Styela clava: one gene and its partner. The protein of the gene in region 1 interacts with the protein of each later gene in a pairwise test. Links are inferred from orthologs where the notes say so. Each region holds a gene or a part of one and is shown on either strand. Other genes may lie near its edges. The genes, in order: rab-like protein 6 and serine protease inhibitor Kazal-type 1-like.

The links.
Region 2: the proteins of rab-like protein 6 (region 1) and serine protease inhibitor Kazal-type 1-like interact in binary tests that used the Homo sapiens proteins (3 or more experiments, as listed by UniProt). The link is inferred for Styela clava from reciprocal best matches to the Homo sapiens genes RABL6 and SPINK7.

What each region holds. Positions count from the first base shown.
Region 1 is NC_135254.1:11,566,647-11,579,492, reverse strand, and holds the start of rab-like protein 6, read right to left. Parts: upstream 5,886-12,846; 5' UTR 5,792-5,885; coding exon 5,665-5,791; intron 5,124-5,664; coding exon 4,989-5,123; intron 4,212-4,988; coding exon 4,164-4,211; intron 3,478-4,163; coding exon 3,428-3,477; intron 3,079-3,427; coding exon 2,953-3,078; intron 2,391-2,952; coding exon 2,284-2,390; intron 1,658-2,283; coding exon 1,552-1,657; intron 1,120-1,551; coding exon 1,028-1,119; intron 211-1,027; coding exon 33-210; intron 1-32. Other genes in the region: breast cancer anti-estrogen resistance protein 3 homolog, read right to left, coding at 9,679-9,833, 9,928-10,051, 10,697-10,905, 11,499-11,619, 12,133-12,210, 12,530-12,623, 12,707-12,786. UniProt on the Homo sapiens protein: May enhance cellular proliferation. May reduce growth inhibitory activity of CDKN2A.
Region 2 is NC_135251.1:15,160,404-15,173,384, forward strand, and holds serine protease inhibitor Kazal-type 1-like, read right to left. Parts: upstream 3,389-12,981; 5' UTR 3,341-3,388; coding exon 3,292-3,340; intron 3,028-3,291; coding exon 2,993-3,027; intron 2,524-2,992; coding exon 2,396-2,523; intron 915-2,395; coding exon 875-914; 3' UTR 762-874; downstream 1-761. UniProt on the Homo sapiens protein: Probable serine protease inhibitor.

The DNA of each region.
Region 1 (12,846 bases):
TAGAAAGACTAATTTATCAATATCATTCATACTTGAACGGGCTTTGAGGATGGAGAAGGTGCTTGGTCTGGTGGTTGAGATTGATTCTTTGGTGTTGATGATTCCTCTTTGCTATTGGCAGGTAGTTTCTCATTACTTGTACCAGGTTCTGTTGGGGTCGACGGCGTTGATTGAACTTTAGTTTTTTTGTCACCTAACCTTTGTACAAACCTGCAAATTGAAAAAGTTTTATTAAAGATATTTGCATTTTGATAGATTGTTGTCCTTATTGGTGGCTGCCTGGTCAGGACCTTGTTCAGAGAGAATGATGTGAAAACATGTTGCATAAAAAATAACAATAAGGAAAATAGTAGAATAGCTCAATCAAATGAAGACAAACGGAGAAATATCAATGGAAAATTTCACAGTGATAAAAATAGCAAAGTTACTGATCTTCCACAGTAATCAAGTTAATTTTAATGATTATGGAATACTCCACCAATGACAGATATATCCAAAAAAATACAGAATTCAAACAATCACCCAAATATCATTCATGTAACACATTCCTCATACAAAATATGGCATTGATTTAGGTGAGGAACTGAGGAATTGATTTCAGCAAAGTGGCCAACAACGAGGTCTCAAAATCAATAGATATAAAAAATAAATGCAGACCAATCCTATTAATGGCAATTGCACTCCCCCATGACATTTTATTGATTTTAAAAAAAAAAAAGTCAAGCTGAAAATTATCTAGTAATTGGTTATCATGTTATGTGAATAGGTGCCTTTATTCGGTTAAGAAAGTTAGACAAATTTGAACAGATTTAAACATTTGCATACATACATACATAACGTTACACCAACATAATTTATTACGTGGACGTGGCCTAAGAATAATGCACCACCAAAGTGCTTTAGGCAGCCACTGTTTGGTTCAATAGAAATTCAAGTGAAAGAGGAATTTTAATTCAATAAACTTTAAATAGGTTATTAATCTTGATCATATTTCCAACTCTAAGACTATAATTAATAATCAACATACATGTCATATCCATGTTCTTCTGTGCTCAATTCCTCAATACAAGATTCTAAATCTAGATGATTTGTTTCGAGTTGCTTCAACAAACTTTCACGCTGAGAAAATAAAACTATTTCATTTTTACCATTGTAAATTTTTTCAAATGAGACTGAAAGTATGAAATATATAACAATACTACAAATAGACAAAAATTTGATTTTTATAGCTGAACATTACATTATATTTCATTGCATGTTTTAACTGTTTCGTTCTAGATTGTATTTTACTTAGATTGCTTAACTTGGTTAGTCTTGTACTATAGTTAATATCTCATGTCAATTGATTTAAATATTAGCATGATTTATTTATTTGGAGCCTACAAAAGCAATCTCTAACAATTCAAAACAAAGTTTCAAAAGGTTTTTGGACAAGATCACAAAATATAATCAATAAGAAGAATTATCAAACTCTGAATAATTGAGACATTGATGAAATCTAAATTTCTAATCAGTGTGAAACAACTTAAAACGATCATTGAAAATTATTACCTGAACTAATAAGAAAGGCATGTTAAAAAACTTGTGAACATATTTGAGACCAAACCCATTCCTCATTGAACTTTCATAAAACATCACCGATGCAGAACCATGAGGCCTGATAAAACACAATAAAGAGATTAATACTTTACGAAACCGCTTTATAACTATCATGTAAAACTTACAACGCAGACTCATACATGTATTATACATTGGCAGGCAATACTAACACATTACACATTTCATCTTTTTTTTTACTATTTTTATATAGTTATCTTCCATTTCAAATTGCAATACCAGCCTAATAAATAGATGGACTGGAATTAGGCTGATAAAAAAGAGTGTCAAGTGTACCTACAGTCCTACACTGTAAATAAAATGAAAGACTTTGATTGATGGATGGACTAGACAGGTCCAAAAGATCATTTCCTAACTGTTATTATTTGAGGTCTTTTGGAATCTTTGCAAATTTTTGAATGATATTTTACTTCGATAACCTTTGTTTGTATACAACCTACTAAAACTATATACGGAAAGCAGCAACATTGTACTTTCAAGATACTTTTGGATTTCTGCAGTGTTCACAGACAACAGTTTTTTCAATGTCTGATCTTTTTACATTAGCAATAATTTTGAATTTTTATAGAGGTGAATTCTACAGACAATTCTAGCCCGTTTCAACTTTCAATGTTCTTCAAGACTAAAAGAAATCTGTGAGAAGGTGGGATGATATTTTGCACCTACCTCTCAATTGACTCTATTAGAACCTCAATTTCGTAAATTGTTATGACTCTGTGATGTCCCATATCTCGAAAATTAGCCAAGACTAATACTGGAATATGATTTGGTACCTGGAAATAAAACAATTGATAAAAGAGCAGGCAAGAACATAATACAACGAAAATATCCTGATGCAATGTAAAGATCGAAAAATCTATTGTTTCATTTTTTTCTTTTCTTGAGCAAGATATCTTTTTTATCATATAGAATGCAAGAAAGTGAACAATGAACATATACATAATGCCATGTTAAGATTTTATTGGTGTGAAACATGTATTCATCATCATGTTGAAAGTCTAATAGTTTGAGCAAAATGCCATAATCCTGAAAGCAACAATTCACTATAATATCGACCATAACTACCGGTAATTACAGATGTGTATAAGAAATATGAATATGCATTTCTTTTTAGACAAATCCAGATTCTTCAAAAAAAAAAATATAACTTATGCCATGTCCAAAATATTTCACCAAATAAACAAACGAAGCAGTCCATTGATAAGTCTCCAGAATGATATATGGGAAATGAATACAAATAAACAGAAATAAACTGCAATTGGCTATTATGGGAAATATTGAATACAGAAATATGAAAGTTTTCAAGTTTTATATTTTACCAATAAATCAACACACCTTTGGCAGTTCCTTCTCTATATAAGCAAAAGTCCATCTTTTAGTGATGTCAAATGTCATTATAACAGCGTGGGTATGCTTGTAAACATCAAGAAAACTTGCATCGAGTGCTGGATCTTCCTCATCCTGGAAAATTCAAATAGTATTTCAACACAAAATAATACCAGGATAATTATGTAAATATTTATTTCAAGGCTATTTGGGTCATTGTATGAATATTGCCTGAGATGAGTCTAATATGAACATTGAGATATTAAAAAAGTTTAAAAGAAACCTATGGAATTTTGTTTTAAATTTATGTATAGAAAACTCAAATTACTCAGTTTGTTTTATTGAGGTCTCCAGTCTCTCACCACTACGTACTCATTTGTATAATGAATCACTAAATTAGAAAATGGAGAGAATTGTGATAAATGGCAAATGTTTGACTTCCTCTTTCAAACAATATAAATTACATAATCACGAATGAACATACTTCTTCGTTACTCAACTTCAATCCTTTCGATTCTTTTCTCTTGGATTTTCCTGAATGTATAAAAAAAATTCTGATTTGAAATTAGGAAGAATAAGTTGACAGTTCAAACCAGTAAGGAATAAGATGCAGGAGACAAAAACAACAAGACAGATGGTAACATGGCAGTTCGATAACTCTTGTTTGAATTATTGTAGTGTTGAAGGTAAATAACTCTGGTTACTCATGTACACTATGAAGAAACAGATAATTGCATACCTATGTTGATGAAAAATAAACAAAATGCATTCGTTCAAAGTTTTAATGTAATTATAATATTAAACGTAATTGCAGTATTGCAAAAATCTTGTAAGTGTTTAATAAGTATACATGTCAATAGCAAACAATGCATTCTTATGAAAAACTTTGGTACACCCCTACTTGATTGGAAGTTACATAAATATTTGCAGAATCAAACATTTTAATTTATATGCAAATACCATGGTCGAATGATCATGGAGGAAGCTGATAGCCATTAAAACTATTATATATAAGCTATTTTGGGAACTATAATCAAACGAAATCGTGGTCAAAACAAGCCGCCATAAGACAGCTTTGTTTTGAAATTGAGTCAACTAACCTCATTTGTCAAGGGAATAAGTGAAGCTTGAAATTACGCTACATTAATTCTAGCAGTGGAGGAGTCCATATAGATAAGGCAACATGAGTTTGTTCATATATCAGCAGTATATTTACTCACCTTGATCAACAACATCCCAGACATCCACTTTAACAACATCATCTGTAGCTAAAATATGTAAAACAAAATTCAAATAATTTTAGGATTGGTTAAGACTGGATACCAATTACCAGATTTGTCACTTGTCTTGGGCCTTGTTCAGAGTGAAAAATGAGTAACAAGATCACATGAAAAATTGATTTGAATTTCTAAAACATAATCTATTGCTCAAGAACAAAAATTATAATAGTTTCGAGTATTGTAATAATTGATTATTAAACAATAATTCAAGTGTTTAAAAAGCATGGACATTTTATTAATAACATTGTAATCTTAATATGCTGTTGGAATCTGTTTCTGAATATAAATAATTGTTTATTCATTGTTTGGTAACAATTAATTTCAAACCAATTTATTTATCGCCATATTTTAACTGCATGATTGCTCTTTTCTTGTCATTGTTGTAAACTGCTTGTCTGAGGAAGTCTGATTTTGGTCAGACAAACATTACAGAAATACATTAATGTTATTGTGCAGCAGGGCTCTTGAATTGCATATTATGGTATTTTATTCCTGTTACAGCATCCTTGCATTACATGCATACAGATCCACTAGTGCAAAGGCATTAAGAAAGGATTGGGAGTTAGTCTCGTGCACCTCTACTGATCGTTATCTTAGTTGCAACTTGCAATATACTCAAAAAAAAACATCACACCCAAGAGTTGAGCTTTTCATAAAATTTGCAAGACTAATTGAAAAATTACAAAACATTCTGGTTACACTACATCAAGTAACTGGTTAAGTTTTCTCAAAAATAATCATGAATTTTAGGACAATATGAAATACCTTTGTAATCCCACTGTATCGATGCAACTTGGATCTCTGCAGTTGGTAAATATTCTTCAACAAATTTGAGTCCCCTTAGCCTGTGCCATAAACATGTTTTTCCTGTATTTCTTTCCCCTCGAATGACAATTTTCACTGAAAATGTATATGAAAAAATTTAAAAACAATTCAAATCTCTTGGAGCCAGTAAAATTTACACTTATATTAATCTTAGTTCGACCCTTTCACTCATTAAAAAACATTCCTGCTGGTCACGTAAAATCGATAATATTGATTAATTAAATAGGATTTTTTGTCTGAAAAAGTTTGACTATGATCTAACGAAAGCTCAAAAATATAGTTGCCATTTCATGAAGAGATTATGTTTTTCTTATTTATCACTGTAATTAATAATAATACTTCGTTAAAATGGCACCCTTGTGGTAAATAATACATAGGAATCTACAAACAAGGATAAAGGATCTGCAGTTCAATACACGATTATCCAGTAAACAGTATTGATTTATCACTAAGAAAATAATCAGTTATTTCTTCATAGCACTAGCAGATCACTTCTACTGATGTTGTTGTTTAGGATATGGTTGACCGCTCTCAATCAATACAAATTTTGTCGTCTTCATAACAGATATGGTATAACCAAAAATATGAAAAATATGACTCCGTTGTCGAGACTCACAATTATATTGTACGCCCTTAGCGAATTTTCTCTGCAGATCACCCTTCATCATTTGCATGCCAGATGGTGGCGCAACCTTTTGTTGTGCATCATCATTTTTGACCCACTTCTTGAATGATTGAAACATATCGAATTCAGGACTTGCTCCGTACCAGAGTACCGAGTACCATTACCTATCGGATTCAATATGTTCTGCAGTTTTAAAAAAATACTATTTACAGATTTACTGGATCACTGGCCAAATATTTTACAAAATTAGACTAGCGAGTCATACATCTACAAGTAGTCTATAGCAGGACTTCCCAAACTAGGGGCCGCGACCCTGGACGGGGCCGCGAAACTAATTCTAGGGGCCGCAAAGAAGCACCAATTTTACACAAAGTACTATATCTATTGCACTTTTTCAGACTCTTAATTTGAAATACAATCATTAAAAATAGTGTAAAACGATAAATTCACGATTCCAAGTGAATATACATCATCACACCGTGTTTTCCCGAAAATAAGACATTGTCATCAATTTTCTTTTGAACATTGGAGCTCATTTTAGGGGGATGTAGAGAATAACGAGATTAATATACGAAATATGAATACCGAAATATGATACAAATTTAATAGCACGTTTCCATTAAAAATAGCGGCTACATATAGATTATTAACAATTTAAAAAGTAGATTTCTTTCAACTATAGGACATAGTAGTTTTCGAACTTAATTGTATTGTGACGACCTCCAGAAATATGCTCAAGTTGCGACTTCCCGTGAAAAATACCGTACGTATTGATACATTTCAATATAATACCTTTTTTGCATTGAGTTTTATATAAACGGACGAACAAAATCTAACAACAGTCAGTGAAATCAAATTCAATGGGCCATGGTAGAAAAGCCGGGTCTCATGTAGTTTCTTACCCAACATACTTCTAGTGGGTGTAGCATGACAATTTTTTCATGTATCAATCCCAACCCCCACCTGACTACACCATCCAAAAATTACGTCATTACGACGTCACAGTGACGTAATAGAGCCCTTCAAACTATACGAACTGCCATCCAAGACGCGCAAACGAGCATCCGAAGTCGAACAGTTAGTTCTCTCGTTTTCTCGTCGCAACAATTCCAATAGGAGAGAGACCGATAACGTCAGTCAGTTCTTTATCGTCGACGCCAATGCCATTTCGGTCGATCGTGCGTATATTTGGCAAGCTCTATGACGTGATTGTGATGTCGTAGTGATTTAATTTTTGGATGGCGTAATCAGATGGGGGTTAGGATTGACATATCAAAAAATTGTTATGCTACGACCACTAGAAGTACGTTAGGTACGAAACTACAGGAGACCCGAAAAGCCTGCTTAATATAAATACGAAATCGCAAAGGAGATGTGGTGCGCAAAAAATGCACTTTATGAACCAAATTATGGTATTTACTATTTATAAGAGCATAATGAAAAACAACAATAAGCCTTGTGTCAAAATTGGAAATATTGTCATTTGTCAAGCAAACTAGGAAAAGCTGAATAATCAAAATTTAGGAATCATTTTACTACAAAAATTGTCAGAAAAGATTTTATATGATCAGATGATTGGTATCGGTACCGGTACGGTACCGGTATCGGCGATTAGATTTGATGAAATTTATCAAGCTTGATAATTGTATGTGAAGCCAAATCTGCATGTACCTGTACCGGTATACCAGTATACAGAAAAAACATATACCGGTATCGGTATTATATTCGCTGTGCCAGCATATGGACTTTTGGAAACCTGGCTTCACTCAGCAAAGTGTAAAAGTCTTATCATGTCCGTTGTCAGTTTCATGGATACCATTTTTCTATTTCCAAACAGTCACTATAATAATCTATCTGGAAGTTTAACGATAGCTACGGTATCGGGCCGGTACCGATTTTGTTTTTATGGCAATAAATCTCTCCCTCTCTACCGTACCGGTATCAGCTGTTTGCGCCTTTCACATCCCTACATTACCGTACCTGGGCATACGATATAGTAAGAGTCAAGAGCCGGTACAAATCTAGAAAGCAGAAACCCACATCACCACTATTCAGCTTTAATGAACTGTAACGCTGGTACACTTTGGTAGCTTGGCACCGATAGGTGGTGATAGGTAATGTAGTAGTAGATACGGAACCGGTACATATATATTTACGTATATATTTACGGTCAAACTGGAATCGATTCCTCCTTTCCTATATTCGATACAAGACAGAAATCCGAACGCGTTGACGGTCATTGCTAACATTTTCTAAATAAACAGAGAGACAAATTTGAAATTTCCCCTGGAAAATACATTTTCTGCAAAAATGACTGGCGTCTATTACAATATTACTTGCCAAGTAATTATATGAATATTGTATTTTTCGGTTTGATCGTAGTAATATATATTTACGGTTTGATAAATCAAACTCTCTTGTGCGTAAAAAACAAAGTGTCTGAGCGGCTGCAATATTATAATTGTTACGTCTTCGTTAACATTTCTCTGATTGGTCATTGTTACGAAATAAAACACGGAAATTGTTGCTGGGGGCAATATCCATTCCATACGCTGGAGCGCACCACGCTGGCACATTCACTTACTTCGGGTCCAGTCATTGACGACTTTAACAAGGTATGTTAAGGTATCAATGGTCCAGTGGAAACTCCCCACTAATGATTTTCTCCGTTTTTCAAATTTATGTGAAACTGTGCAGCGGATAAAAATCCTGGGTCCATAGGTAGGCACTGATGTGAGTGGGAATGCAATGATTACTTTTTGTGGCAATTTTTACATGTCAGGCCGGATACTAGTGCAAGAGGACGCAAATTGATTTGGCCGATTTATCATATAATATTCAGATTGAGGATAGTTCTTATTGACAGTTATGGCGCATCGTGCTAAACATTAGGAAATTACTTGCCACCTCACTTCTGATTACACTGCGCGGGTCCGAATCCCGGATTGGTTGGCTCACCTTCGACAGGTGGTTCATAGTATCGCTGGTCAGACATAGACTGGTAATCAGACGAAAGGCTATGGCATGCCATTTGATTAAGCAGTCTCATCTAATTTCCTTTCCTCCACATAAATATGAAAATACTTCCCACATTCAGTATATCGAAAGTGTACAGATCCCCAATATGCTTTACCCATCACTGCAGAATCCAAGCTCATTGCAGATTTAACCATGCGCAATATAAGCAACACTGCTAATTTCAGTATGAAAGGGGTTATGGCAATTGGCTAAGTATACCACCCTTGTATAAAGCCAACATTAGTATCATTTTAAAAGATCAACAGTCAATTTCACAATGAATTGTATTATTGATTACTAATTATATGAGTTGCGTTAGAGAATAGTTAGATGCATTAAGTAAATAGCTTTTTAGAAATACAATTAAAAAACTTTCATTATTATATTATACATATCTTGGTAAGTGCAAGATTAGAGATTTCACACACTACATGTAAAAAGTACAAAAATATAAATGATTGGATTGGCAGCATATTAATATGAACATCTCTAAGTACCACGCAATGAACCGTGAATTAAAGCATTTTACCATAATCAGAATTAAGATTCAAATGAGCACAATGATAACCGATAAAATTTAGAAAAATAGTAAGAATATATGAATTCAAAAATGCTAAAAATTCCATTTTAAGATAAATCAAATCGCAATAGTTCCCAAACATAAAGATTGACCGTTATATCTCAAATTTACATAGTATTATATAAAGCACAATGGATATTGAAAATTTTTTAAATGACCTATTTAATCAAATGAAAATTAAATACCAGTTGACAGTATCAGTACAAAAATATCACATTGGTGGAACATTTTAAAAGGACTATTTTCTGCAATGACACAATATTTTCATTATTTTGGCATATACAGGCAGCCCCTTATTGTGGCTCTGCATTCTATGCAGAAATTGCTGCTGTGAATTACATTGAGCATTAATTAATTCATAGAAAATGTGGCAAAAGTTTTATTTTTTAAGACTTATTAGTAACAGATTAATCCACAATATGCCTTAACATTGCAGTTATAATTCTATCAAATTTATGGAAGCGATCACGTCTTGGAGACTCTGCACTTTTGAAACCAAATAACATCCTCATTTGAAAGTCGGTCGTAAACATTTCCCGAACTTTTTCAGTCTCAACAAAATCTGTGAAAACATTTTAATAATGGTGATAAAGTTGACAGACAAAAAAAATCACAAGCAGCAGTTTTGGTAATAAATGATAATCATTATTATATACCTATCAGTTTTGAATTGGCATTTTTCTTGCAATTTTCTACATTTTGTAAGATGGATCGACCAGAAATAAGATGTGATAGCAGAGAATCAAAACTTTCATCAGGAATATTTTCCCACCAGTCAGTCTGAAAAGAAATGCATTGCTTGAGAAATTATCAGAATATCGAGAATCATTATTGACAACAGAAAAAAAGAATTCATGCCTGACGTTCAGCTGTTCCAATAATGTAATACTTTTGGTCATTACCTATATATTGTTATCACTACATTGAACTAAAAAGCAATTGTACTTTATATGGCCTATTCTATACAGAAAAATCCCACAGTTGGCTCAAATTGGAGGAATATCATTGTCTATTCAAGCAACTAAAGCCATTGAAAATCATAATTACCATAATAATACGAATGCCATCATCCAATTGCCCAATACGCAATTATAGAGCATATCCTTTAGAAAATATCCCATTACTTTTTCTCACAGATAAACTTGAGAATAAATATAAAATTTAGTTTGCAGTTTTTTAAACCAATAAAAATCGTCGACAATTATCACAAGAATAGGAATGTCAATGCATATCTCACGAGTCACGACACATACTACAAATAACAGACTGGTCAAAAAAAATGCCACTTTCAATATTCTATTTACTTAGCATAAGTTAGATACAAAGCATAAATGCATTGGCATGGTCCAAAAGAATGAATATTCAAATGTCATGAAGATGACATATTTGCAATGCCACAAGCAGATGTAAGATTACTCAATTCACCCTATCTCCATCTTTTTCAGTGCTGTGTAAGCTCAGTGAATCTTCTTTTCCAATTGAACTTGTAGGTGAGATTCGATCCAACAATGAACCAAACGAAGCAAATTTTTTGGACATTGATTCACCTGAACCTAAGTGAGGAACTCCAGGTCCTGGATTCTCCAAAAGTCTGATCAGCGGCATAATGTGAGGTATGCATGTGGTGGACAAACCTTAAAATATTTAATAATTAACATTTAGCATCAGTGAGAAGATATTCCATAGGAGGAAATAGTTTGCCTAAGAGGAGACAAAGTATGACTGCCAAAGATATTAATAAAGGCAGAGGTGAACGACGATCAATATAATATGCACGATGCACTGTATGTAGAGGGTGCAGGTTCAGGGTATTACAATAAAAAAATATATATTCAAGAGAAAAGAGAAGATATGAATACAAAAATAGAGGAGGGTATCTTTATAACCATAGTCATTAGTTTGAAATTGGGGGTTGGTATGTTTTTATTGATATTAGAGCTGGAGTCACATTTTCATACTTTATGGAACTGTTTTTCCATGCTCCACTGGAGTCTGAAGAAACATAATTTTTGACTTCTAATGGTGTTGAGCGAAGTTGAAATTTGTAAAGTGACTGGGCATTCTCAACAGACAATTAAATAGGGCCAAAGTTTATTGGTTCAGAATTCGGCTCAACCGCAGTCTGGAGTTAATTTATAAACGAACTGGGGTTTGAAGCTTAAGTCTGGTGTAAATTTTCTTAGAGTTCGCAGGACTGTTTGAAACAACAACTTCTATGAACACTCACGAATTTGTCCTTTGCCCTCATCCAAGAGACGCAACAATGGCCTCAACTTTTTATCAAATGTGACCGCATTGTTTGTGAACTTAGCACGCAGTGATACCCAAGATGTTTCTAATGATGAAATCTGTTTAATCAATAATATAATAACTTCATAAAAAATTGAATTTTATAATCAAAATGGCTCTATCATAGCTTTCCATGTAAGCTCGAACTCCCATCTCAGACTATCACACCAAATCAAGCCATAATGTAAATTCGTGTGCTTCTGTTGGGGAATTCACATCATATTTTAATCCCAAAGCAATGCAGTTGAGTATTGACTGAAGGCATTGGTCAAACAAAGGTATCAGAAATGCAGAAAGTATGTGATTCGGTCACTACTGAGAGCAAATCGACTCACTATAATCCCGAATGCACAATATATTGAGCTGGAGAGATGGAGTTACAAAGGTTTACAAATGAAGTAAAGTTACGACAAAAACAAATTCTATTCAAAGTATTACCAACCACCTATTAAGAGAGTTATAGAATGTTCCCATTTAAGCCTTTTCTAAACTTTTATATATTTGCCTTACATGGACATCAAATTTTACAATGCTTACTATCATAAAAAAAATAACATAAGTAAAAAAATCACCTGAGGGCATGTAAGACCATGCATAACTGCTGAGAATCCAAAAACATTGCCCATGCTATGCACCAACTCATTTGCAACCTAAATTAAAAAATAAAGTTTCGTCATTACTACATATAATATAAACCAATAAACATAATCAATATAATATAATATTTTCATACATGTAAAAATTGAAACATCATTCTCGAAATTTCTTTAGAAAAAACATTTATTTTAAGATTAAAGGTGATTTAAATAAATCAAAATAACAAAGCGCGATAAAAAGGTCTTAGCAATTTTTCAATGCCACATCCACATTCCCCTTTGCACCATGTTTACAAAAGAGATTTGTTTACCAATAATCAGTAAGAACCTAAAAAAGTAAACACCTACTCCTGAAAGTTTTATAGATACTTACTTGAATAAAAGTATTGAGCAATACTGCTCGTTCATCCTTTCCATTAGCACATTTCACAACACATATTGCAACCCAGAAAGCTATACATTGATACCTAAAAATTTAGAATTCAAAAAGACCATCAACTTCTGCATTCATCACGAATCCAAAGAATCATCCCATTTTAACACTACCTACCTTTCTATAATATCTTGTCTCAGTTGAGATGCATGTGGAAGAAAAATTCGTTCAAAATCATTTTCCAAAATTCGACATACCTAAAGTTTCAACAATGTTAAACATATACTATAACTTTTGATTTGAAAATAGAATAAATC
Region 2 (12,981 bases), on another chromosome or scaffold:
CAGATATGTGTGAAAAAATGTGATTCATCGGCCATCCGTTTGGATTTTAACTTTTACGAATATGTGCGGCCCGCCAATGACTTGCAACTTTATTTTGGCCCGCGAGCGACAAAACGTTGCCGACCCCTGCGATGGAAGCAGTAGGCTTATATTGTCTATTATGTATACGACAGGATGGCCTAAAAAGAACAGAACCCAACTTATTTGGAACATATTCTAGAGGGAGTATAGCTTCTAGATTGCTGGAATTTTAAATGTCGTTTGTCCTTTCATTTTTTTAGCTATGCACTTATTTTTGACCGTCATGTTTTCGGCCGCTGTATCTTTTCTTGAATATAATATATTTTGTTAATTCATCTTGCATTGCAAGTATTCATCAAATTCCCACCAGGATGACACTATTGTGTCTCTATATTATTTATATTGTCTTCTCTATGCTTTTTGCTTCAAAGCAAAATTTTAAGATACTCCAACACGACATGCCACAGTCTTCTTGGCCATTTTCAAGCATGAGCGGTTGGCGACTAGTACTCAGGTTTTGTGGGCAACGCACAATGCTACGTAGCACCAAATCAGGATTGCTATCTGGCAATTTAAATGCTAGTCCAGACTTTGGTGGGGCGGACTTAGTGTTGTGGTGTGCTTCAATTCAACTTCATTGTAAGATTTAAATTATGGATTAGGCTTAAGTTGGTATTGGCGGACTTGAATGAATCCGCTGTCCCCGGGGAACATTAAAACGACAAAACAGTAGATCGACATATGGAAAATAACTTATTTACACCCAATTTTTTATTATCGTTACACCGCTCGCTGAAGAATTAAGTTGTAAATATATGCCCTTTGATCACAGTTGTTCGAGAGGAATCTTCAATTAACATTCGCCAGAGTGTCGCAGTGTTACTTTTGCAGTCCTGTCAAAATAAAAGCAGTTTGAGAACGCAAATTTATATGAAAAATCAGCCCTGAAAACGGGAACGACACAAGCGTAGAAATTTGTCCACAGCGAGTCCGCTTCTCTAGATTTAATAAAAGTCGAGCAAGGAACTTACAGGTAGAAACGGCGTCTAACGAAGACGTTGAGTGTTTCATCAATGAAAAAGGGCTCAGATTCGATGAAACATCTTGATTTGAGAAGACATCGGAATTAACAAATGTGCCGCGAGGCGCTATGGTGTTGCGTTTTTACAAGGCCGGATTTGCCATTAGGCAACGCAGGGTGACGTCTTTGTGCATCGGCTTTCAATTTTAACCTATTATTCGATTATTAGGTCAATTTTTAAGGCTCTTTTCATAATAGAACTGATATTTGTTTTATCGGGTTAATATTTATTGTCCCAAATATATACAATTTAAAAGGTTACGGTCGAATAAATGAATTTGTCTTAATTTATGATACTCTACTTCTTCCATATTAAAAACAAAATATGCTAATTTACATTACTTGAGCAGTTTTTAACCTAATAATGCCTTATTTAAAAAAATATCGTTACATATAATATACTAAATTATCTAAGCAACAATGAATTCGACAATTATATATATTTACTATTATGGATTTTTTAATATTATCTTAGACCCGTTTTTTCACAAAATGGAATGTACCTTTATTTATCAGTATTTGGGCTACACCCGCCTACTATCCATCTCGACTAGACACGGGTCTTATGACGCTGGGATTTCCGGTGCCATGACGTTTTATTACAGCCTCTAGTTTCTTCGAGTGTTTTTAAATGCAAATTACTATTCAATCTACTTGGGGATTAGTGCACAATCCTTCCCGTATTGAATGTTGGTATTTCACGGATTAAACCTTTTAAATAAATCTACGGTGCACGTCATGATAAAATATTTATTACGTCATTGATAAAGAAGGGCACCACAAATGGCATAGCCTAGGCCTAGGGCGTCTCATTGTTTAAATCCAGACTTGTAATCACCCTAACAGAGACTGTGGAGTCGGAGTTTGGCATATCTCACTGAAGCCTGGAGTTCATTCATCGGAGTCGAATTTCTGAAATCGTCGGGGCTGGAATTTCAGATTTTCTATCGTGATATGAGAATTCAAGAAGGATTAGGTTTACTACGCCTTCTTTCAACTCTATGAAAGAATTCTTGAATACGCCAAAGTTTTTGTTAACATAGTTTAATTTTATCGGAGTATTGATCTGGAGTCGGGGCTATTTCTATTATTTTTGCATTCGTTTGACACTTATTTCAACATGATTACATCTACATATATATATATATATATTTCGTACGAATAAGGAAAAGCACATTTAGTATATATATATCGAAATCGCATCTGCAGGGTGATTCATTGTGGAGGAAAGTTTCAAGTATGCCTTCCTGCCCTGCTAAACGTCCCGAAACAATGTCCCAAAAATATACTTACCCTCTTGGTTGCTTAGCATTCCTTTCACACAGTGAGCATTTGTTGGCGTATGTCACACCGTCACTTCCACACACTGGAGATAGGATCATTGGACAAATGCCATTGGACTCTCTTTCTGAACATTTCAACTAGGGTGTAAAACGAAAATGTTATTGCTTGCTCCAACATATTTTAACTGTAACTCACGGTCTCCAAACTTTATGAACTAGACTTTCAGATGAAATGTATTTTCCTAATAGGTGATGCATTTCGTGCATATACATCGATGATGATGATACTTTTTACTATTTTGACACATGTTTCTAATAACGGCATTGTGTATTTTATTATTTTTAATACACACATTACATCCAAATAAGCTAGTAGGCTATTTATTATATATATTTAAACCAGGCCAAGTAAATTTTCTTCAGGGTTCAAAACAGTGTACGACTATATTGTTTATATATATAGGCATTATTGTTCAACTTCTTTATTTATTGAACATCTTTATCATCTGTGAACTAAGCGATATAGTTAGAATCAATTATTTTCCTCTACATTAAATCCAAAGTGCATACTAAATTTGTTATTAAACGTAAGTTGAAAATTACTCACATCTGCCTCGCGTTCTTCATTCGCTGTACATAGCACTGTATAAAACATAATTGCAGTTTTGATATATACTGCATAAACTGTGAACCGGTGGGCCGGAGATCTAGGTTTGTCATTTTTTTAGTATGTGCAAATTATTTTCCCTTGAGATAAATTTATTATACTATATATATTAATTTTATTCTGATCAATAGGCAAATGCAATACCGCCGACATGATGCTTCAACGGTTCATGGAATAGTTTTGAATCTACTCGGTTGTGTACCGTTTACAATAATTATAAATAGTAATAAATGACTTACACACCATCGCTGACAAACACACCAACAGGAAGAGCGTGGCTTTCCACATTTTTCTAATTAGGCTATGGAAAATGTTAAACCTGTAATTAAAATATTTTATCTTTATAGTTATATTAAGGAATATGACCTGTGTCTTGAAGGGTTGTGGAATTAGCATATACATTATAAAGGACGCAAATTTGTTTGTGTTGGTCTCAACTTTTCCTTGTCTTAGCGGTGGGTTATCACTGAAAAAGTTTTGTGATGAATTTTATTCTATAAAATTTTCAGTTTTTACCGTTCATATGAAATAGACTTCGTTTGCGAGACTAATTTTTTATAAATCAACCCTGTAGAAATCGACCGCAAATTAATATGATCCGTTTATGACGTCCGTTTATGACAAATTTTCATTAGGTTGGGGTATTTAGTGCGCTCCTTGTTGGACACGAAGTGGACCTATAGATAGTTTTGTTAGAATGTTGGTATTGTGAAAAAAAAATCGCTTTGCTCATCAACTATCGGACCATTTGCTTTGAAATCTTCAGTGGTAAAGCTTGTTGTTGTCGCCAGAAGGCTATTACTTTCGATTAAAATCGATAAGTAACGATTAAAATCGATAAGTAATAAAATCGATAAGTAAAAAATCGATAAGTAATAATATCATGTATAATTAGATATGGTTGCAGATTGCAAACCGGGGTTGAAATACTTGTTGCATAATATTGTTGAATGGATAAAAATTTGGTAGACTGCTTTATCGAAACACAAAACGATTATTGGTATTCCACGTTTACCTGGTATCATTCACTAGAAAAAATTTACCAATATGTACTGTCAAGTCATCCAAGGATGACGGCACAACTCCTATGAAGTGTTACTGATATTCAGTGCTGCAAGATATTCATCGCTATATTCAGTTTAACTATTAATCTTTCCAGAACATCTTCATTATACATTTCGTCCCCTCGTTACTACTTTCTCATTCAAATATTCAACGGCACCTTATTCTATGATTGATGAAAACATGAACTGCATAAATCATTCCAGATCAAAGTTGGTTTCCATACCAATGTAACTTGATAGCATCGTACCTTGACTAAATATACGAGAAAATAAATTGCACGACTGTCAGTATAAACTCAATAAAAGTTTTGAACCAAGTTCTCAGTACACGTCATCAATGATTGTTTTCTAACTGCCCTCGTATTTTGTTGAGGCGGTTTTTGAAAGCACATACAAGTCTCGTAAGTAGAAAACTAAATCGACTTTATGTAAATAGTGACGTCAAAAATTTTGAAAAAATATATATATTCAAAATCAGTTTCATCGTTTCCGTGATAACCCACTTCTAACAGCACTGCAAATTATTACTCGTTGTAGTTGTAGTTGTAGTTGTAAGGTCATGTGCACCGAACACCCACCGAGAAAGTGGACCAGCTATGCGCTGTCGATAATTTGATTTGCTTCACTTGTCATACTACACTGAAGAGTAAAATCGAAAATTAACGAACGAGGCATGCCATTCTAACAAAAGTCGTTCAGATACAAATTCGAATAAGTGCGTCATGGGATTATATTGGTATATAACACCTGGACCTTAATACGTCATCGGTAATATTTATTTACTGTTTCAAATATAGCTTGATATCGTAGGTTAGTATTATCAAACGTCTGTTAGGCATTTCAATTCATTACGATTCTGAATATGTATGGCCAGTTGTCGGCCCGAAAGGGACTCCCCATTATCAGCCGTTTAAAAATGTTCAGGTTTGATCGTAACCACCACAGCGTATCTATGTCACTATTTTCACAATATTTATTTAAAATACGAATAATGAAATGGGTCCTTTTCATCAATTCAATCTTAGCTTCTGGTTAAGTTTGTCATAAATACTGACAGTTCATATACCATTATATGGCCGTCGTGACTGAGTTTATCAACTAAACCTCCACTTTTTAAAAACCTACTTAATTAACTCAAAATTGTAATTTTATGAAACCGGTGTCTAGTAAGAATGCATTTCTTGAAAATCAGTCACTACGTCAATGCTATGAAACCGGAGAATAGGTCCAAAGAAAGAAATTCCATAAAGCAAGGTATGGTGTGGTGAGGAAATAACATTATCCTTCAGCAAGAAAAAACTATAAACGAATCAGAACGTTGAGCAAAACGTTTGCTCTAAAACAGTGCGTGCATTGGGTAAAGTATTTTGGGTAGTTTTTGTTTCACTTTTTCCCAATGCTATTTCAAAACGTGCAACTAAGATATGTTTCACGGAAAAGCTTCAATATCATACATTTTGTTAACTTGCTTTTCCAATATATCAACACTAAATCGAGTTGAGGAAGTAAGTATTAGTTGGCATCTTGGCATTAGTTGGCACATCTTGCGTGTTGATCTGAACTACCGTTCCGAACCCCAATAAACTATTAAATCCCTAAAAATGCACAGATAATTGAATCTGAAATTGTTTTACATTTTTGCTTGTTGTTTTTTCATCACGCATTATACTTTCATCAGTTGTAATCCCTGTATCAGGTGAACTCACTGAGCACATACTAGATGTACGCATACAACAATACCATTTATTCATGAAACAGAAAAACAACTTTACCCAATTAGGGTCCAATCTTAGCTTGGCGTCCATATTAGCAATGAAACATGTTATGAAATTTCGTTTCAAGTAGTTGACGCAAGTTTACTTCTATATTCCCTTTCTGACGAGGTTTACTCACTTTTTCATCGTTTAACTTTAAATCGTTTTGTACTTGATTTGAAACATATATATACAATGACATATATAAAGTCTCCGAAACTCTATTCTTTCTGCACTGTAATTTCAAGGCTGACATTTGGTATATATATGATCTCCATGTCTGCTATAAATACTCGTAACTCTTTCATCTAAATTGTATATGATTGATTCAATAGTCTTGTTGTACACTAACACAAATGTATTTCTGAAACGTTTCACCGACTCAAGTCAGAATCCTTCTGACAAACATAATTCAACAATTTACACATTAGTGAACACTGCTACTATGTAGACACAACATACGTACATTTTTACGAGTATTAATTCTATATTTTAATTGATATTTTATTTCTAACATGTACGTATGTACAGTTTTATCTACTATACCTACTATCATCGACAAGGGACTTCTTTGCCATGTTAATCGTGTGGGTGTTACTTAAAATAGTTTCAAGCAAGTAAGACCACTGTTGTTTCGACTGCGATTGCGTGAGGACTTCTGACGAAGTCGGGAATTACTTCATAGCCATATACTACCCATATTCTACAAGGAGAATTGTGAGTTGTATTTATTCCTATTTCTTATTGGAAAACTTAAAATTTCACTTATTTTATCGCTGCGGCCTGTAAAGTGGGATATGTATGAAATTGAAGAACAAACAAAAAAATGTCGGGGCGAGAATGAAATTAGGTTTTCAATCAAATTGAGAAATGTTGCATTACCAAAAACGACAAAGGTGGAAAGTCCGTGTCGTGGTGTCAGGTGTTGACCGTCCAATAAAGACATATAAACCTAATGTAGTTAATAAAGGTTACGTGAACAAGTGAAAGTTTTGGTTAGTGGGGAACTATTGGTGGATTCTTGTGGTAAATCTCAAATGATGAAACTGTCAAGTTGCATACAACTGGGTGACGCGAAAATTTCTATTAAAAGCGGAAGAATATAAACAAACAAACGTTCAGTCGAAAGGTGTAATATGTCGAGTGTCGATTGACATATCATACTTCCTAGGCGAACAGCACGTCAAGGCAAAGTGTTTAAAGTACGAAATACAAATAATACTGAAACAACTCCGAGTTTATCCGTTTTCCGATACTACCCGCCGCTGCATTTAGTCGTACGTGTAGGGTACTTGAGATTTGCAGTTACGAGTATACTATCCCCCACCACCAAAATGTTTTAACTGCCAGTCTTTTGGACATATTTCTTAAATTGTCGGGGATCAACGCGGTGCGATAGGGTTGGTAACGTGCCATACATATACTACCAAGTCCTATGCATATACCGCCAACTCATATACATATACAGCCAACCAAATATACATATACTACCAAGTCATATGCATATATAGCCAACTCAATGTACAAATACAGCCATTAAGGTGATGTACAAATACTGCCAAGTCGCATGCATATATAGCCAAATCAATATACAAATACAGCCATTATGGTGATGTAAAAATACTGCCAGATCCTTTCGTAAGAATCCAATTCATGTATATGCGGTTCAGTAGGGATTTGTTCAAAAAGAATTGTTTTAAAACTTTTGAAAAAAAAAACTTTAAAACTTTTTTTTAAAAAATTGTTTCGAATCAAGTTTTTTTGCCTGTTTTGTTCAAAATGGCTGTACTATTTGATTTATTTGTATTAAATAGGTTGAATAAAAATGGACGTAAAAACTTGCGAAGCGCTTCTTATTTGCAATAAATCTTTCAAAACGCCACAAATATCGATAGAGGCTCATGTATACCTTCTCAAGCTGTAGTTCAGTGGTTGGCGCATTAAGACGCAATCGATAAGCCATTAAGTGAACGACCCTGCTGCGATGAAACCCCCTTGCGAAAATTGAAATGCGATCGAATAAATGAGTTTGTATAACCTTGAAAAACTCTATCACTTCAACCTTAAAAACAAAGCAGGCTAAGCATAAATTAACCGAACAGTTTTAACCGTAATAATGCCTTTATTTTATGAAAAAAATGTCAATACATGAACTCGAAATCCATATTATGGCGTCGTAACAGATTAGTTATGGCGTCTTTGCATCAGAGGACTCCTACAATTAGCATAGGCTAGGCTAGGGTGTCTCGTCATTTATATTAGTAGATTTCCGCCGATACAAGCATATTCTTCATTATCGCAACCCACTCGTTTTGCCGAAGGGCTGCACTTGATCTAATTGCTTTTGTAGTGGGCTCGTGAGCTAATTTTCGTGATTTTTCTTACTCAAAAACGTCTTTCTGATATCTCGGCTGTACATTCCGGGTATAATCTTATGACTTCGGTGGAGATACAAACGTGGCGATATATGTACGCAATAGAAGTAAAAGTCAAATTAAAAAATTTTACTTACATTTTTGAAATTATAATTCCGGCTGCGTGTGTGCAGCTGCCAGAATGCAACGTTTTGGCGTAGTTTCGCGGCGATGCAAGGGGTATTTCAATAAAAAAATACAAAAAATACAGAAAAAATTTGATTCAAAACAAGCCTTTGTTTCAAAACACGATGTTTTTTTTAGAATTGATAAAAAAACAAAACCCTATGCGGTTGCATCTACGAATTATATGCACATTACCGGTCGTTCATATAATTAGCGCATCAAAAAGCGTAAAACTCCAAAGAGATAGGCGCCAACTTAGTTCTTCAGAGATATACAATAGGCGCCAAATCTATGATGTCATAATACCCCACAACAGCTGATCATCGAAAACACGAAAAATGTGCTGGCTGAAAATCGCTCTTCAGTCCCATTGCGTTGGTAGGGTGAATTCGAACACACCCTGGGACACAATGAGGCATTTTTATATTCAACGAATCATCATCATCATTGAAATTAATTTTCAACTGAATTATTTTAGATCGTCTTTCAAAAATATTTCTCACATTGGCAACATACAACTATCTTGGAGACATGCGTATCTAAAGAGTTTTTATAGAATTACTAGATGAATATTTTAGATTCTTATATTTAAATCTGAAAAAGATTTATTGTTTCACTTCCGGTTTATGTCTAATTTCAATTGAAACTGAGTTCTGTAACTTTCATTCTAGATAATGAGAGTTCTTTGTTAAAAAATCCATAAACATCACATACGGCTTTTGATCAAAAAGCGGAAGTATATATTTTCAAATACTGTAATGATCAATGTGTTCAATAAAACAACAAAATCCAAAGTTATATATTAACAAGTAAAATGTCCAATTTCGACCAAAAGCAAACACTATACTATTTTGAATACCCTTTAAAAAAATTTCGAATCAAGAATATATATTTTGAATTTGGCCATGGCCCGAAAGCTAAAATATGCCAGACAGTCGTTTGCCCTGTAGAATAAGAAAAGACGAAGATGGCGATATTTTGGTTTCCACTTCCCAAAATCAATTCTACTCATATCTTGCGTCGCTCTGCACGGCCGCTGTTCGTTTGTGGGGACGTCGCAACTCACCGGAAGGCGCAGCCAAACTTTTAAACGAATGACTGATTATGGATATAGTATAAGTGCAAGAAATGATTTCCCACCGTGCCCCATATCCCACCGTGGCCCAACTTCCTATATTGGTTACTTTCCACAAACTTTTCAAATTGAAGTAGGTTTAATTTAACCAATTTCACTCGTACGCATTTTTTTTAAATTTTGGGCTTGAAAAATCAAAAATTGAGAGTGAACAGTTGGTATTATATTTTAAAAGATTTATGCCTTATTTTAGGCAATAGTTAGAGTGAGTTCAAACTAGATACTGACTTGGCATTAGATGAGTAATGACTTGAACTGGATGAGAATTAACTTGATTGGGCCCGGCCAGTATATCATGAATATGGAGAAGCAATGCTAAAATATATTGACATTAAGATTGCGTATTAAGCCTTAGCTGACCACTGAGTTTGTTAATAAATGATCGACGGACAAGCGTGGTAGAATCACCTATTCACTTGCATCATATAAAAGTATTTGAAATAAATACGACATTAGCATTTAGATGAAATATCTGGCCCCACATGGGTCTCAAATACAATTTGTTATAATGAAAGTTTTTGCTGAGCCCTTGCGTCCCATAAAGCTTTCTAAACTTGGTTTTCAGTGTCTCTATCATTTTGTTTTCAACGGTCTGTGGCATGCCCAGAGTCTTTTTGCAAAGGTGTCTTAACACAAAAACTTGATAATCATTGCTTTACGATGTCTAAATTTCCTTGATTTTTAGTTGTCAGGATTGGTGTGTATAAAACCTATTCCAGCATTACTACCATGTTATTCTTATGTTAATGGTATTTCCACATTTTTCTGCTACAATGGTCTTTGCATATAAATTGACATTTTCAGTTGAATCGTTTTTTTTATTCAACAAACTGATAGCTTAACATTAATATAATCACGTGCTCCGGCATCTTTGTGTCTTATTATGCGCAACCAGCATGTAAAGGCTTACCGTTGAGTGATGCTCATTTCAACGAACCCCAACGAACATGGCCTTATCCTATAAAAATAATCTGGCGATGCTTTCTTGACTAATCAATATGAAACGTGAGTAATGATAGTTTGCAGCAAATTTCAATCTGATTGGTCTGTAGACAGTTGAAAGCCAATGGCAATAGTTCACTAAAAAAATAAAAGAATTTTCAGTGAGTGCGACTGACATTGTACGCATCGTTACGCACAAATAACATGTAGGGGCTTGTCACTAAATGATGCTGATATCACAATAATTTATTACATATACTTTACATTTATTGATAGAAACTTCCATTAATATACATATGAAGCCATTCATGTAATGTACATATACAACGAATGTCATATGTACTTATACTCAAATCGATATAGATATGCAGGTATATTTAAGGGATGTACATACACCGCCAATCCATTCCATATCCATGCACCTGCTGTATATTATGTACCGATGTGGTTACATCTAAAAGTCGCAGCTTGGAAGTCATATTTATATAATGAGTGCGTTAAAAATGACTCTCAGTAACTCCAAAACGGCTTTTAAGTTTATAGTATATACATATGACATTTCTTGAATGCCTTCATAAGTACATGAAGTTGACTATACATACCTGTGACATTGATGTAGTCCATATGAGCATATTGCAATGGTTGTGTATGAACATTACTCGATTGGCGGTATATGTATATTAATTTGGCTACATATGCATAAGATATTGACATTTGTATGAGCTTCACTTTCACTTGTCTTTATGTGACTATTGAGTGATCTAATTGGCTGTATATACACATGACATTGGCTGTGTATGTACATCACCAAAATGGCTGTATTTGTATATTAATTGACTGTATATACATATTACATTAGCTGTATGTGCATATTTAGTTGGCGATATTTGTATATTTTTTGCTCACAAGATGGAATCGGAAATTTACATGTAACGGCTCCTGAACAGTCTCCGCGTTCGGTAAAAATACCGGCTTTTTCGTGTTATAATAAATTTTTCCGTCTTGTAATAACTACAATGATTCAAATTGTCTCTTTTTTTTAGTTCATTTGTGTTCAAGGTAACTCGCGGTTGCGGCGACTGACGACAAAATAAACTCATACATATCTAAATTACCACGCCAATCCGCGGACACAATAAAGTGTGATCAACTGCCCGATTATATTTAGTTTTTATATACATTGCACTCATGCGAATTCGTGTCGTCATTAGGAAGACCTGGTATAATATCGCAGAAAGTATATTCAATTTAGTACAATTAAAATACATGTTAAGTATATTTGTAGATGAAAAATACATATTCATCGAAACGAAATCCCCGCGGTACGGCTTCTGAGTCAGTCCTCGAGATTACGCCAGCCGTTATAAGAGCCGACTTTTTCAACGGATATGTAATGGTTTTTCTGTTGAACAAAATATTCAATCCATGATTGATATACTTATTTAAATGGTTGCTTTATTCATATAATTGTGATAAATTAAATCTGCGATTGCGTCGATAAAATAAAAGCACCAGTACTCCAAAATAACACGGTAATCCGCAACCATAAAAATGTCGATTGCAGTTTGTTTTGATTTGTAAGAAAGTGTTTTTAATCTGTCGCAGTTCACCCCAAAACAAAACTCATTCTCAAAACTCGTTTTCCGTTTTAGTTTTAGTATTTTATAATGCCACTTTTACAATAAAGAAATTTTTAGTTACGGATTCACTTCTTTATTATATCTTTAGCATCTCGTGGCTGATGATTATAATAAAAACTAACTCGTTTTCCTCAGAGGTGTCATGGTTCCATTCGAGAACAAAAAAAGTAATTATAATCGTCTTTGCGGCACAAGAATATGTCGAGGGAAATTTCGGATTTAGGAAGAATAAACACCGAAATCAAGATTTTTAGGGCTTAAATAACACGCCACGCTGACGTAAACAATGGAGATTTAAATAAAATGCAATTGCAAACGCCTTAGCGACAACAATTGATTGAAATTTAACGTGTCTTATGTAAACGTTTAAGCAGAAAATACATTGAAGCATGGGTTTATTGCTTGTTTAGTTTTACCGAATAATTAGTTTGACTTTGCCAAGTATTGCAAACTGAGCGGAAAAACGAGAATGTATGATGACCAGTGGCAGCGCGTCAATAGGGCCAACCGGGGCAATGCCCCGGTTGTTTTTTCGGTATATTAAAAAAATATTCGAAAAATACCTCAATATCGGTTGCACAGACTGTCTACACTAGCCATATTCTCCTGACATGGTTCATTTTTCGCTCGCAAAGCCTTCGCCGAACGTCGACGGGGCGACGCCGATTTTGCCCCGGTTGCCTATTGCATATCGTATTCTCTCTTTTATCTTCCACTCGCCGCGTTTGTCTCGTTTGTTTTCTGTTTCTTTTACTAAATCATCGGGGCTAGCCCCGAAATTATGACGACACAATGCCGACGTTTCTTACAACAACGTGTTGACATATTCACGCATTCCTTCTCGTTCGTTGGTT